Schizosaccharomyces pombe: one gene and its partner. Changing the gene in region 2 together with the main gene of any one other region gives a genetic interaction. Each region holds a gene or a part of one and is shown on either strand. Other genes may lie near its edges.

Region 1 (7,763 bases), 2.1 Mb from region 2:
CGATGTTTTGAAGGGTCTCCCTATTGCTGGTGTCCACGTTGATGTCGTTCGTGCTCCTGAGAACTTGGACCGTGCTCTTGCCGTTCTCGGTGAGAACCAAATCATCTCTGTTGGTGTCGTTTCCGGAAGAAACATCTGGAAGACTGATTTCCAAAAGGCCACTGCCATCATTGAGAAGGCTATTAGCGCTGTCGGCAGTGAGCGTGTGCAAGTTGCTTCTTCCTCCAGCATTCTTCACATTCCTCACTCCCTTTCTGGCGAAGACCAAATTAATCCTGAAATTAAGCGTTGGTTCGCCTTTGCTGTTGAAAAGTGTGCTGAATTAGCTATTCTTACTAAGGCTGCTAATGACGGCCCTGCCTCCGTTCGTGCTGAACTCGAGGCCAACGCTGCTGACTGCAAAGCTCGTGCTGAGTCTCCCATCACCAATGTTGAGGCCGTTCGTGAACGTCAAAGCAAGGTTACTCCCCAAATGCATGAACGTAAGAGTCCCTTTGAGACCCGTTATGCCAAGCAACAAGCTTCCCTTAAGCTTCCTCTTTTCCCTACCACCACTATTGGCTCTTTTCCTCAAACCAAGGAAATTCGTGTAACCAGAAACAGATTCGCTAAGGGTCTCATTTCTCAAGAGGAATATGATGCCTTCATCCGTAAGGAGATTTCTGATGTTGTCAAATTCCAAGAGGAAGTTGGTCTTGACGTTCTGGTTCACGGTGAACCCGAGCGTAACGATATGGTTCAATACTTTGGTGAAAGAATGGAGGGCTTTGTCTTTACTGTCAACGGTTGGGTCCAATCTTATGGTTCCCGTTGTGTCCGTCCTCCTATCATTGTCGGTGATGTTTATCGTCCCGCCCCTATGACCGTTAAGGAGTCTCAATATGCTCAATCCATTACTTCTAAGCCTATGAAGGGTATGTTGACTGCTCCCATCACTATTCTTAGATGGTCTTTCCCTCGTGACGATGTTCATGACTCTGTCCAAGCTCAACAAATTGCTCTTGGTCTCAGAGATGAGGTCCTTGATCTTGAAAAGGCTGGTATTAAAGTCATTCAATGTGATGAGCCTGCCTTACGTGAAGGTCTTCCTCTTCGTCGTGCCGAGTGGGATGAGTATCTCAAATGGGCTATCGATGCTTTCCGTTTGGCTACTGCTGCTGTTCAAGATGACACTCAAATTCACTCCCATTTCTGTTATTCTGACTTCAATGACATTTTCGATGCCATTCAACGTTTGGATGCTGACGTTGTTTCCATTGAGAACTCCAAGTCTGACATGAAGTTGTTGAATGTTCTTAGCCGCTATACCTCTTGCATCGGTCCCGGTCTTTTCGATATCCACTCTCCTCGTGTTCCTCCTGTTTCCGAGTTCAAGGAGCGTATTGATGCTATTGTCAAGCATGTTCCTAAGGATCATCTCTGGCTCAACCCTGACTGTGGTTTGAAGACCCGTGGATGGCCTGAGACTACTGCTGACTTGAAGAACATGATTGCCGCTGCTCGTGAAGCTCGTGAGCAATACGCTTAAGTCACTTATTTTGAAGAAAAAGGACAATTTTTTTCCTTTATTTTCCATGATAATATTTAAAAAGGGGTTGTTAACCTTCAACATGGTTAACCGGTAATGAAACGAATGTTTGAAATGAAAATGTTTCTGAGGCTGCATAGCTGTTTTCTCATCAACTGAGGGTAACAAGTTGATATATTTTGCTATGTGATGGCGTTTTTGTTAATATTAGAATCTAATGAAAATACTTATAAATGGGTTTTCAGGTATTATTCGATGAATGTTTTGTGTATAACTGAATACAGTACGTTTGAATCTTAAGTAAGGATGTAGTCGACATGTAGGCGTGCTCTTATAACAGAGGTATCAAGTTTTTGGAATTTGTTGTAAAGTAGTTAAAGTAAATACTTGAAAGAATATGGAAAAGTGGGGTGAAATTGATTTTGCTGGATTTGCACAAGTGGTGATGGTAAACGTTACGAAAGTGTGTATCAAACATGCGATATTTCTATTTTGGTAGTAAGGACTTTTAAGGAAACATTTTGTGCTTTTTCTTCAAAAAAGTGGGCACTTAAATACTGGTGCCATTTATGAATTTGAATGTGATGTTTTCTACTGACACTTAAGTTTTCCTACATTAAGAGGATAGAAAAAGGAGCTGAGATCTCAAACGCTTTAAATAGTGAGAACTTGAAAATTGATTTAGTACTAGTTTTCTTGACATCCATAATCTTTTAAAGTTAGCATAAGATCACAACATTTTGTGTTCATGTAAACGTCTTCTTTTACTTAAATGGGATATCCACAAACCCGCACATGCTAGAAATAAATTGACTAAATGTTTTACATAAAACGTGGTGCCACGTGATGACAAATGTACATTTAACACAAGGAACTAGGTTGCACTGACTCAGTCTCCCTGTATCACCAGTATCCGACATAAATTGTCGCCTACTTGCATTCCACCTAAACTTTTTATCTTTTTCCACATTGTGATGGTACTCCAAAATTGCAAATCACAGAACGGCGTACCGGTAATGGATACCTGCTGCCCTATATGAAACCAAAGCTGCCCTTGTAGAATTCGAGATAGCTTACGCTGTTGCAGATTCAGTTCAATCAAGTAAATTATTAAAAAGAGAAATAATTATTTGTATTATAAGGTTATTAATATATATTGGATTAACAGCCTATGTATTCACCTAATGTACATATACGATAGTTAAATTGTTGACTATTTTCGCTAAGCACCGAGCTTAAAATGATGCTAAAATTTCCTCATTCGCCTTAGGTTGATTTGGCATATAAAAGTATTTCTCACCCATTAAGTGCCTAAATCGAGCTAAATTTCCATCGTCCACGATAATTTGAGCTCTTCTGATTTAACAAACACCCGTTTTATGTCAGATTGCCTTTTTCTGCCACCAACGTGTGAGACACATTTTTATTCATCAACCGGGTTCAAGCACCCGGGAACACCGGTTATATAATAACAAAATTTCGAGTCTGATTTTTCTTAAAACTTTTGCAAATTACTTTTCTTTTAATTATTTGAGAAGCTTGTTAGCGATATCTCAATCTTTGCTTTTAAAAAAAAACCAGTGTTGGAACAGTACAGTATTTCGTAAAGTGGCTGTTATAATTGACCTCACTGAATTTTAAAAAAAAATCGGTTACGCATAATCTTTGACAGATTTTGTTAAAAAGACGATAAGTTTCCTTTCTCGTCCTTTTGAAGAGGTTCATTCTTTTTTTTTTTTTTTAAAAATAAAGGCACATTTATTTACTAAATACTTATCGCCTTTAAGTGGGCTCTTTTGTTATAATCCAGCAAGAAGTTCAATCTATTTATTTATAAGGTTTTTTTATGAACGATTGAAAATTTCTTTTTCTTTCTGACTTTTTCATTTGCTATTATTACAATTGCTTCGCCATGCCTTCTTCACAAATAAGCCATCAAGATCCAGAGCTTGGACAAACCTCCTCAGGCTCTTCCAGTATCAAGGAGAAAGCAGAACCTCAGCTCTATGCTGGTCCCATCGACCCTGCTAGAAGGCCCGATGTCTTTCAAGAAGGATTTGAAGATGTTTCTGTCACAGACGACGATAATGATAATGAGTTATTACGGAAAATGGGCTATCAACCTGTGCTTCATCGTTCTTTTGAATTCTTTGAGAGTTTCGCTGCCAGTTTTGCTTCCTTAGATGTCGTTAGTGGTGTTCGCTTGACCTTTAGTTGGGGTATTTCATTTGGTGGTCCTGCTGCATATTGGTCGGCTATGTTGGTAACTGGATTTTGTTCAATCGTTACTGCCGCATGCTTAGCAGAAATTTGTTCTGCTCTTCCTGCCGCAGGTTCTATCTATTTGTGGGCCGCAGAATCTGCTGGTCCAAGATTCGGTCGTTTTGTTAGTTTCTTAGTTGCTTGGTGGTCTACTACCGCTTGGACTACATTTGTCGCATCGATCACTCAATCTACTGCCAATTTCATCTTTGCTGAAGTTAGCACGTTTAATAACCCTTGGCCTACTAACGACAGTGACGTTAAATTTCGTGCTGTTCAATGGATTGTAGCCGAAGTGCTTTTAGTGTTTACTATCCTTCTTAATCAAGTCCCACCTCGTTATTACAAATGGATCTTTAAAGCATCAATGTTATTGATGTTTATCGATTATGTAATGAATATTATTTGGGTCCCTGTTGCTACATCTAAAAAACCTGATGGCTTCAGGTCGGCCAAATGGGTCTTTACGGAAACCATTTATGACCAGGCTGGATATATCAAGGAGGTTGATGATGCCAACGGCAACCCCATCGCTTCACTTTCAAAAATCGTTCCAAAGGGCTGGCAGTGGTGCTTGTCTTACTTTGCTACTGCTGGTGTCATTGTGGGTTACGATGCATCTGGTCATATTGCCGAGGAAACTAAAGATGCCAGTATTAAAGCAGCTCGCGGTATTTTTTATTCTACCGTAACATCTTTTATCGTTGCTTTTAGTCTTGCTATCCTTTATCTTTTCTGTTGTCCTGACCTTGATACTTTTACAGCTATTTTATACAACGACAATTCTCCTCAACCATTTGTCAATTTTTACTCCTATCTTCTAGGACGCGGCGGACACGTGGTTATGAACGTTGTTATTATCCTCGAAATCTTCCTGAACGGTGTAGTTTCAGTTTTAGCTTGTAGTCGATTAGTGTTTGCAGTCTCGCGTGATGGCGTTCTTCCTTTTTCGAATTGGATTAGTCAAGTAAGTAAAACCGGTCAACCAAAGAATGCTATCACTGTTATCTACATTGTTTCAGCTCTTTTACTTTGCACCATTCTTCCTAGTGCAGTTGCTTTTACCTCCCTTGTTTCCGCCGCTGGTGCACCAAGTTTTGCTGCTTATGCTGTATTGGCGTTTTGCCGCCTCTTTATTACACGCGATAAATTCCCAAAAGGCCGTTGGTCTTTGGGTTGGTTAAGTAAGCCTTGTTTGGTCATTACATTGGTTTACAACTTGTTTGCTCTTGTTGTTAATGTTTCTCCTTATACTTATCCCGTTACAGGTCCTTCTTTCAATTATGCCGTTGTCATTATGGGTGGTGTTTCCATCTTCGCCATTATCTGTACGATTGTAATTCCCAAATCCAGATGGGTCGCAAATAGATATCGCTATGAATCGGATTCTGAACATAGTGCTAGCGTTAAAGAACTCAAGGTATGAGAGGTTCAACTGTTTCAATTTATTATTTCGTTTGGGGTTTTGGTTTATTTAATTTTCAGCTTTTTATTCAGAAATTCTATCGTCATTCTATTTTCTTTTTCCTTTATGTTATACGATAATATATTGAATAAAAGCATTTTCATTCATACTTATACACGTAAAATATCTTTAATTATGTAGTACTGTTCGCCTTGCGCTGCAATAATAATAAATTAAGATATGCTAATTTGTTAAATAAATAGACATGATTTTATTAAAATGCATACACATTCTAATCAAGTCCGGACTAGTACTGAACTATTTAATTATATCTAATAAATGTTGGAATTGAAATGTATTATTGTTTTTTAGGAAAAAATTAATAAAAAATGCTCCTGGTGAGGCTCGAACTCACGACCTTCCCCTGTGTCATAATATGAGAGGGATGCTACCACCGACTGAGCTACAGAAGCTTGTTGAACACCACTAGGAAATATGAATTAATGTAGCTCTTAAAATATGATTTTAACAACTACTGAAATTTGATATTTGTTGTAACTATGAATACCAAAAATACATCTTTAAAAGCAATGTAGTGAATGGTATTGATTAAATGTGTTTTACTGATAGAATGAATACTTAAAAGAGTCTCATATGCGCACTCTCTCAAGCATTGATACAAACTCCTCATGAATTTAGATTTTAACCTACGACTATTTGCACTTCATACTGCATCCAAAATATTTGCACTGGATAGAGGTTGTATGTTGTTAGCCTGGACTGAAGGCATATTATTCAAATTTCCTCAACTTGGTGATATTGAATATGTCTTTTTGGATTATTCTAATTTATGTAATTCTAACTTTGATAGATGACTATAAGTGAAATTAATAAAAAATTAACAGTACATTATATGACCATTATTTTTAATGTCAATAACATATAGTAATATGCATAAGTATATAAAAGTTGTACACGACTTATCGACATAAAGAGAGTTGCTTAGTTCCACTAATCGCACCTTATAAACAAATTGAATCTTTACTCGAATAAACAAGCTAAAGTTGTGAAAAGCGAAGTGAACTTTTCACTGTTTCAAGATAATCACGTTGACCTACTTTAGGAAGTTTTTAAATACACTAAGAATTGCAGATTTTCCTAGTTGGTACTTTTGTGTTTTTTGTCAAATCCTTATGACACTTGTTCAACCTTTTTTCTTTATTATATAAATGGATTCTGCTAACAAAAATACAAAAATATTTGCTGAGCAATTGGGTAATGACTTTACAATTTCAGTTGGTATGTAATGCCGTGTGTTTTTAATGGAAGATTAATAAGTTAATAAAATAAAATACAGATGATGAAGATATGGAAATGGAGTATCCGTTGCGTTCCTCTACGCCCACAAAAGTAATAGACGACCAACGAGAAATCTTGCTTCAGAAAGCATCGCGAATCTCTAAATTAGACGAAGCGCTTTGCGAGCTTAATAATGAATCTAATGGCTCAATAGATTTATCTATTGACAGCTTCATACCATCTTACGATGAATTCTTGCATAAAAAACTACTAAACGAGGATACTGGTCATGAAAGCAAAGTATCAGACCAAGTTAAGCAAGTCATCAGCACTCCTATGAGCACCTGCTTTGAGCAGTGGTTCGAAGGAGAAGAACAATCGTCTACGGGGAACAATCAAGATATATCCTACTCTAGCGTCAACTCTCTATCTCCAAAAAGACGAGGCATCTCTCTTATGTCCATTGATGCTAACAAATTGAGTCCTAAAAAAACTTCCCCAAATTCTGGATACATAACATCTCCTTTAAGGCATCCGATTTTACTTTCCGAAACAGAACCTGGAACCCCAACAAAAAATGATTCACCTGCTTATATCGGATTACCTTCACAACCCAATAGTATAACTACTTTGAATAACACTAACCAGAAATTCCAAGTTCCTGATAATGACAAACCACCTATGTCTTCATTAAATGAACTATCTGCATCCTACAAGCCTATCGTATTCGACTCTTCGCAGCATAAAACTCAAGGCACTGACAATAATGACTCTTTTTACCACGACGATACAAATTGCATTCATCTTTCACGTTTAGAAAAGATTCGGGAGCTTCTCACATTCGTACAGTTGGAACTTAAATATTATGTAGAACCTCTTAAGAAAGAATTACAAGAGACAAAGACTCTATTGGCTCAAAAGGAAGAAGAGATATCTAACCTAAAAGATAAATTACAAAATGCAGGATTATCTTAATTTATTCATTTACATTGATTCATGAATTAATTTTGGGTACCTTGTCAAAACAATTTGGTCTGAAGGATAACTGACATAATAGCTCAGCATATTCGACATGAGGAAACTAATTTAGAATTCTCTGTTCAACGACGGCAACATTACTCTATAATTCTAATTTGGCAATGTGCAGTGTTTTAAGTAAACAGTTGTAGGGTTCTCTTAATTGAGTTCACCCAGAGGGAGCTATTCCAAAAATTTTGTAATTTTTTGAGTTTGCGTATAGCCGTTAGTGGGCATGTTCATTACTTTTGT
Region 2 (7,262 bases):
CTTATTGCCTCGTGGCCCAATTGCTTTAGAAGAGTTTGTTAAACCGTTTTGCGACCGCTTTGGTCTTACCAAGTTACCTCGACACATGCATGTTATTTTGCTGAGCGCTTTGTTTTATCAAATCATAAACATCCTTTCGCCAGTTATCTCTAGACATTTGAGTACCCATTATGCCAAGTTATCGAAGAAGACTCGGTTGAATTGGGACGCCCACGTTGTCAGTTCGGTGCAAAGTATTGTCTTGATTTGCCTTGGGTATACTTGCTTGAAGGAGGTCAATGCATTTCCCGATAAATTATTTGGATATTCTGTTGTGGCTGGTGACATATACGCCTTGACTGCTGGATACTTTGTATGGGATCTTTACATCACAGTTCGTTATGTTCACATTACTGGTATTGGATTTGTCATTCATGCCATTGCTGCTTTGTTTGTTATTACTTTTAGTTATCGACCATACCTAATGTATTATGGCCCTACTTATCTCTCTTGGGAACTTAGCACCCCTTTTCTCAATATCCATTACTTCTTAGACAAAACCAACCGTACTGGCTCGAAATTTCAAATGATTAATGGTTTCATTCTTATTGTGACCTTCATCTGCGTACGTATCGCTTGGGGATGGTTCTCTGCTTACAGCACTGCTATTGAAATTCTCAATCATATCAATGTTGCTCCTTGGGCTTTGAGTCTTTTCTACCTTGCTGCTAACATGTCTCTCAATTGTTTAAATCTTTTCTGGGTTTCCAAAATGATTGATGCTATTCGTCGTCGCGCTCATGGAGAAAAGAAAAGTACTCCTTTGCAAGTTACATCTGAGTATGCCAAGAAAAACATTTGAAAGTATGTGTCATTCTCCACATTTGGTTCTTTGAATAGGTACCTTCAATGATTTTTATTATTGAAAAAAATAGTATATTTTTTCCCGATTTATTTATGAATACTTGGCTTGGGATTTAAGTCAAATACTTTGGTTTTTTATATTAATTAGAGCTATTTGATTTGACGATAGACGTTTGTTTTGATAAATTATTTGATTTGAATTCCTGTTCTTTGATGTATCTTCCATTCTTCTTGGCTATGTATTTATGAGACTTTGCGAACCTCTATTCGCTCTTCATAAGGCTATTGATTTCTAAGCAACCAAATATTTAATTCTTTTTTAGTCTCCTTATACATCACATTCGCTTTATCTCTCATCTTTTAAATTCCGGATGTAGTAGAATTATTCCCTTAGTGAATTTCAGGGTTTACTTATATACCTTTTCTAGCCTTGTTTGGATTACACGTCTTCTACTGTTCCTTTTTATTGAGTTCTTAATTAACCATAATTCATTAAAACGATAATTGCTGACGGTGTAAACTGTTGAAAGTTGTCGAGTAATAAATCGCATTAACGCTTTTAACATTGTAATAGAAATATGATAAATTATTGTTTTTGTACAAAACTGTCTAAGAAACTGTTGCACATTACTTGTAAATGATATTCTTGTTATAACTAAAGCGTTTATTACTTATTATGCCGCCAAACATGGTCAGTGAAGGAAGGCATTAGCAAAGAGAAATGAGTTTGTTTAAATGAAACGGTTTAGGTTATTCTTTATTAATTAACTAGACCAGTAGACTTTACGTATTTATTTCGTATGTTGTATTCATATGTATATTTATACATACATAATTTAGCCTTCTTCTCAAGTTCTTCCAAGTTGAAAAATGACCACTACGTTTTGCAATGATAGAAATTTAAGACTCAGGTAAATAAATAAATTGAAAAATAATAAAAACACAATTAACAATTACTACAGTAGGTAAAAAAAAAGGCGAGGGAAACAACTCCTCATTAATCACCGTTTATTAATTTTTATCCAAAGACAGCCATGATAGTTTTATACGGTTCTTAAAATCTATACGCGTAATTATGTTCCAAACAAACAAAAAAGTTCCCAACCGGATTAAAAAACAAAACAACTGTAAACTAGTTGTTTTCGAGAGGTAAATATTTTAATGCCTTGTTGCCTGTAAGCGAACTGAGTGCCCGAATTCTTTGACCAAAGAAATAAAATGTGTAAATAATAAAAGGAATACTAATACTAATGAAAGCCATAGTTGCAACAGCCCATTTGACGCTCATGTTATTGAACATGATTTGACTAACATGGGCGAAAACAGTAGCCCCAATAAAGGAAGGAAGAGTAAAAGCGGCAACGGCTGAGCCAGAAAGCAAAGGGTAAGAGTCAGTCAAGTAATTCAGAATGCACATCCAGTTATGACCATTCGCAACTGTTACCATACTATTACCAACAATCGGAGACATCCAGGGGAAAGGTGGATGACAAGTGAATGCAAACAAGAACATTCCTGCAGGGAACAATAACGTAATAAACAAAGCACTGGTAAATCTAGCTTCGGGACGAGCAACACCATTGTTTTTTGCTTTATCTCTGCGGAAAATCCAATCTTGAATTGGTTGATACAAGAACAGGAGAGTACTAGCAACAAACCCAGATAAATACGTACAACTAGCACCCATTTCCGACATTTTATAGGTGTCGTAAAACACGGGCCAAATAGCAGTCAAGAAAAAATAGGAAATACCATAAGCGTAAAAGTTGTATAAACCCATTGAAAGAATAATGGGTTCGGTAAGCATCATTCGAAATCCCATGGTAGTGACGAATTTACATTTCTTCAAAACTTCCTTCAAATTGTTTTTAGGAATTCCTTCTACAATTCGGCCCTTGGCATTTTCATATCTTGTAATAACTTTAATGGGTAAGGTTTCAGGAATAATTAGAATCACGATAAGGAAAAAGCCACCAACGATAATGTTAATATAATAAAGCCAACGCCAGCCATACTTGGCATTAATGTCTACTCCTGTAGCCATTGGCGCACCAATTGCACCTCCTGCACAAGCCCAAACAAACAAAGACATTGGAACACCAGCTGTGTCTTCCGGGAAAAGATCTGGAATACCACCTGCAACGTTTGTCAAAGCAGTACTACCAGCAACACCGATGATGAAATGGGAAATAATCATTTGAACGATGTTACGGGGTAGAGCACACGAAATATTAAAGACTGTGTAAACGAAAATGGAACAAAAGTAAACGGGCTTCCTGCCACCAATGTCAGACAGCGGGCCCAAAAACATAGGACCCAATCCACTACCCAAGATGTTCATACTTAAGCACAATGTAGCTACTTGAGCAGACACATTAAATTGGGCCATAACACTGTACTCAATACTGCCAAACCCATTGCTTGTCCAAATAACATAGATCTGCATTAAACAAAACATAAATACAATACTCCAACGTTTGGCCCAATGCCAGTTTTGAGGGTGAGCCGGGTGATCAGAAGAAATTAAATTTGATATGTCGATAACCTCGGGCGATTCCTCTCTCTTTTTTTCATCATATTCAGAATTGGTTTCATGAATTCCATCTGATTGAGAGGAGGCAGTGCCTAACTCCAAATCCTCTGCAACATTTTCATGTTGATCCTTAGAGGCCGTTTCAGACGGAGAAAATAAACTCGCAATTTTACTGGCCATGATTGTTTTGCCTCACAAGAAAACTAGTACTTTATTCCTTATTTACCCTTATGAAGCTAAGCTCAAGGGGTATAGAAAAATCAACTAAAAATAAAGGAAAAATAGCTTGTTAAGGTTGATAATGAAAATTCCATTGGTCCCTGCGTTCAATATATGTATTCAAACATTTTGTTCTTCACGCACATTACCGCCGGAACAAGATTCCGGTTGTTCACTAACTGGCAATATCATATTTGAAAGCGCTATTCTTACAGACAAACGCAATTAATGAGAAACATCAGAGTTTGAAAAGCATCGTTCGGCAAGCGAATACCGTCGGTAGTCTGTAGCGAAAGTGTTAAGAATTGTGAAATTTTTAGTATGATCATCGAAAGAAAGGAATTCATTTTTAGAAGAATTCTATCGATAAGTTTAGAAGATTAAAAATGCATGCTATTGAACATTAAGGGAAATGTAGTAATGGGTGCTTGAGATTGCAAATTTTTGGCAGATAAAGTGAGAGAACCTCTTAACAAAAAAGTGTCCCAACTAAGCATCTCTTGTATCCTCTTAATTTTGGTTTTAATTGTTAAACTGAAAATTGCTAGGAAAAGAGGTTTGAGTCTGATGGATCCATTTAATCCCCGATGAACCTACTTACTACTAAAAAAAGAAAATAATCATGGAACGCTGAACCGTTTTAACCAAAATGTCAACAAAAGGAGTTTCATTTGATTCGGGACCTTCCTTTAAATTATCAGTTCATCGGGTACAATTTGAAGTTTGATCGCCCTACCAAGTTGGCAAATACCCAGAAATAAAGATTGTTAAGTATTTTCTTCTTATTCAGTAAGATGATAAGTATTCTAAAAAGGCACAAGTTTTATAAACGATGTTACATCAATAACAATTCAATCGTCTATTATTTGTTTGTATTTTTACAATGTTGTTGATGTTGGTATTCGGCACGCTGTAATGTTTAGATGCTAGCGCGCACAGACGCACGCAGTTTCCCGAGATTGTTTAATGAACCATTTTATCAGATGGTGTTAGTACGTTAGTGAATTAGGTTACGCTTCACTATTTTTTTATCGTGGACTAGTTTAGCAATGTAATAGTGCAAATACGGTGTGTTTTGATTTACGTAGCATATCTTTGTAGTGGCTTTAAGTATTGTTATAATGAGATAGATCCTAATGAGGAAAAGTTAGAAATATGGATTGAAGCAACCAGATAATATGAATTTTCTTTTCTTTTTAATTCTTTTTTTTTTTTTCTTTTTTTTTTTTTCTACTCTTTATTTTTCTTGTTTCTTTTGTATCTATTTTGACAAGTTCACGTATGAAATCTTTTGCAACAAAAAATATAAAATAGGATAAAATTAAATCTAGAAATTTCTTTTGTCTATCTAATCTTACAGTTATGTGTTATTTATTTATTTATTTTTTCAACATCTTCAACATACCAAAACTTTGCAATGAATAAAAAATGAATTCATTCAGCAAAATGGTATAAGTAGATAACAAATGTAGCTGAGACCCAGGTTTGTTCATCAGATAAAAATTAATTTTGAAAAGAACATACCTTAAGGTCAATGTTTATTTTCAAAAAAAAAAAAAAAAAAAAAAAAAAAAAAAAAACCTAACTGTATCGTTCTCGTTAATCGTTCAATTGCAATTCTTGATTGCTGCAAGTGATTCCCTAATTATTTACTACAATTGAAAATGCCATCACTCAATAAAATTACAAGCTAAAATAAAATGAAAAACTAACTAGTAGATTACTTCACAGCAGCCAGATTTTTAAAAAACAAGATTTCCCTGGAGATCAATTTCAAGTAAACAAAGAATATAATTGAGAAATCCTGACAAATAATAGTATGATTAAAATATAAACATGAACTGTATGTGTCTTGACAAAGCTGACTTCAAAATTGAGGATTCACAAGAGTAACAGGAAGTATTAAGTCGAAACTCTTTTTGTTGAATATTCCCCATTCAAAACTCCTTGGGTTGGGAAATGAATACTGTAAAACTTGCTTTGTTATTGGCAAATATTATTGTTTTGGCTACTCGCAGTTTACAAATTAAGCAATTTTCTCTTTACCAACATTATCCAAGAATACTATATATATTATTAATTACTAAACTCAATGTCTACGGCCATACGTAGGCGAAAACACCAGTTCCCGTCCGATCACTGCAGTTAAGCGTCTGAGGGCCTCGTTGGTACTATGGTTGGAGACAACATGGGAATCCGGGGTGCTGTAGGCTCATCTTTTTTTGAAACCAATATGAATTATTTTCATGTTTTTTTTTTTCATTCACGCCAATTTATTTCCTTGATTGCAATTGAACGAAGTGATTTGTTCGTGAAGACAAACTGTCTATAAACCATCAAAAACATCAACTATCTAACTTGATGTTAACTTTGCTTAACCGTTCGTTTCGATCAATTGCAATGCTTTCCCCTTGATAAATTGAATTAACAATGCATTTTTATTCATAGCGATTGTCGGCAATATGCACCTAGCTAATGTTTAGACCACTTATAGCTGGCAGCAGACTTATCGATCAAGGTACAAGCAATGGGTTAATACTGTAGTTTACCTTGTTAAAAATCATCTTAGCAACAACTCGTTTGACATTCCCAAGATAGCTACTTTACTATTATATGCAATTCGTAAAGGAAACGCACCTAAACACCTAACGGTCTTAACTCCTAACTAATTCTTTTTATCAAAGTAAATTATTTTATAAAACCAAATGCTTGAAGCATGCAACCAAACTACTGTTCTATTACCATCATCTATTCGTAGGGTACTAGAGCTGGCATAGAGCGCCCAACGTACACCCACATACAACAACCGCTATTATAAAATAATGTTGGAAAAATGGATGAAAGGCGTAAGTGATTATTTTTTAATAAAAGAAATTTCCAAAGAGAAACGTTTAGTATAATTAATTTTATTGGCGAGTTTTTTGCTCTTATTTCAAACATAAGCTTACATGTTCAATCAGGATCATCCATATTCTCAACCAACATTCCCTGTAGAAATGAACAACTTTATGGAAGATGTCCATACATAGATAAGGGGTGTTTTTTTCAACATAAAAATCAAGTATGTGAAGTTGAGTTTTTTTATATGTTTTTGATAGGTTCACCTTTGTTTTCTTTTCGCTTTATAATTATTGCTTTTATTCTTTCTTATTATTTTCTTTTAAAACATTAAATGACTGACCAATTCTCTTTTTTTAGGATAATGCACCGGCATCTTCAAAACCACCTTCTGCTACTGCAATAGATCCACAAAACTCTGGCTTTTCCACCAAGCTCAGTATAAATTCGCCATCTTTCACTCCCTTAAAGTTGTCGAAAACCTCAATTTCAAGTGCTTCCAATAAAGAGTCCGTACCCCTCACTAGGCCAAAATGTATGCGACCTTGTTGATGTTATGTACTAATCATTTAGCCTACTCTTCAGCTCTTTCCTCTGGAAAAAATGGTGCTGCGGCCCAACAGGCAGCCAATTCTCCTAAAACGGTATCTTTAATGACCTCTAGTTCTAAAGCTGCAAACGCCCTTCAAACGCACAAATCTTCGTTGGCACGAGCTGCTTCAGCAGTTCCCTTTTCTCCCTCCAAGGCCACAACAGTATCGTTGAAAGAGAGTGCATCCCTAACCAGTCTCTCGAACAATAAATCTGTGAGTAACTTAAATTCAATTTC

The links.
Region 1: mutations in bsu1 (region 2) and thi9 impair growth when combined (synthetic growth defect), as found in Schizosaccharomyces pombe (one study listed by BioGRID).

The regions. Positions count from the first base shown.
Region 1 is NC_003424.3:1,479,394-1,487,156, forward strand, and holds thi9 (plasma membrane thiamine/proton high affinity transmembrane transporter Thi9), read left to right. Parts: upstream 1-3,025; 5' UTR 3,026-3,440; coding exon 3,441-5,216; 3' UTR 5,217-5,359; downstream 5,360-7,763. Other genes in the region: homocysteine methyltransferase Met26, read left to right, coding at 1-1,528; SPOM_SPAC9.11 (uncharacterized protein), read left to right, coding at 6,425-6,494, 6,553-7,469; F1-ATPase chaperone Atp12, read right to left, coding at 7,738-7,763. UniProt on the Schizosaccharomyces pombe protein: Thiamine transporter involved in the cellular uptake of thiamine. Pyrithiamine, oxythiamine, amprolium, and the thiazole part of thiamine have been shown to be also substrates of thi9.
Region 2 is NC_003424.3:3,546,446-3,553,707, reverse strand, and holds bsu1 (vitatmin B6 import carrier Bsu1), read right to left. Parts: upstream 3,675-7,262; 5' UTR 3,557-3,674; coding exon 1,976-3,556; 3' UTR 1,641-1,975; downstream 1-1,640. Other genes in the region: TLC domain-containing protein Tlc4, read left to right, coding at 1-841; poly(A)-specific ribonuclease complex subunit Pan3, read left to right, coding at 6,429-6,441, 6,556-6,656, 6,794-6,968, 7,007-7,262.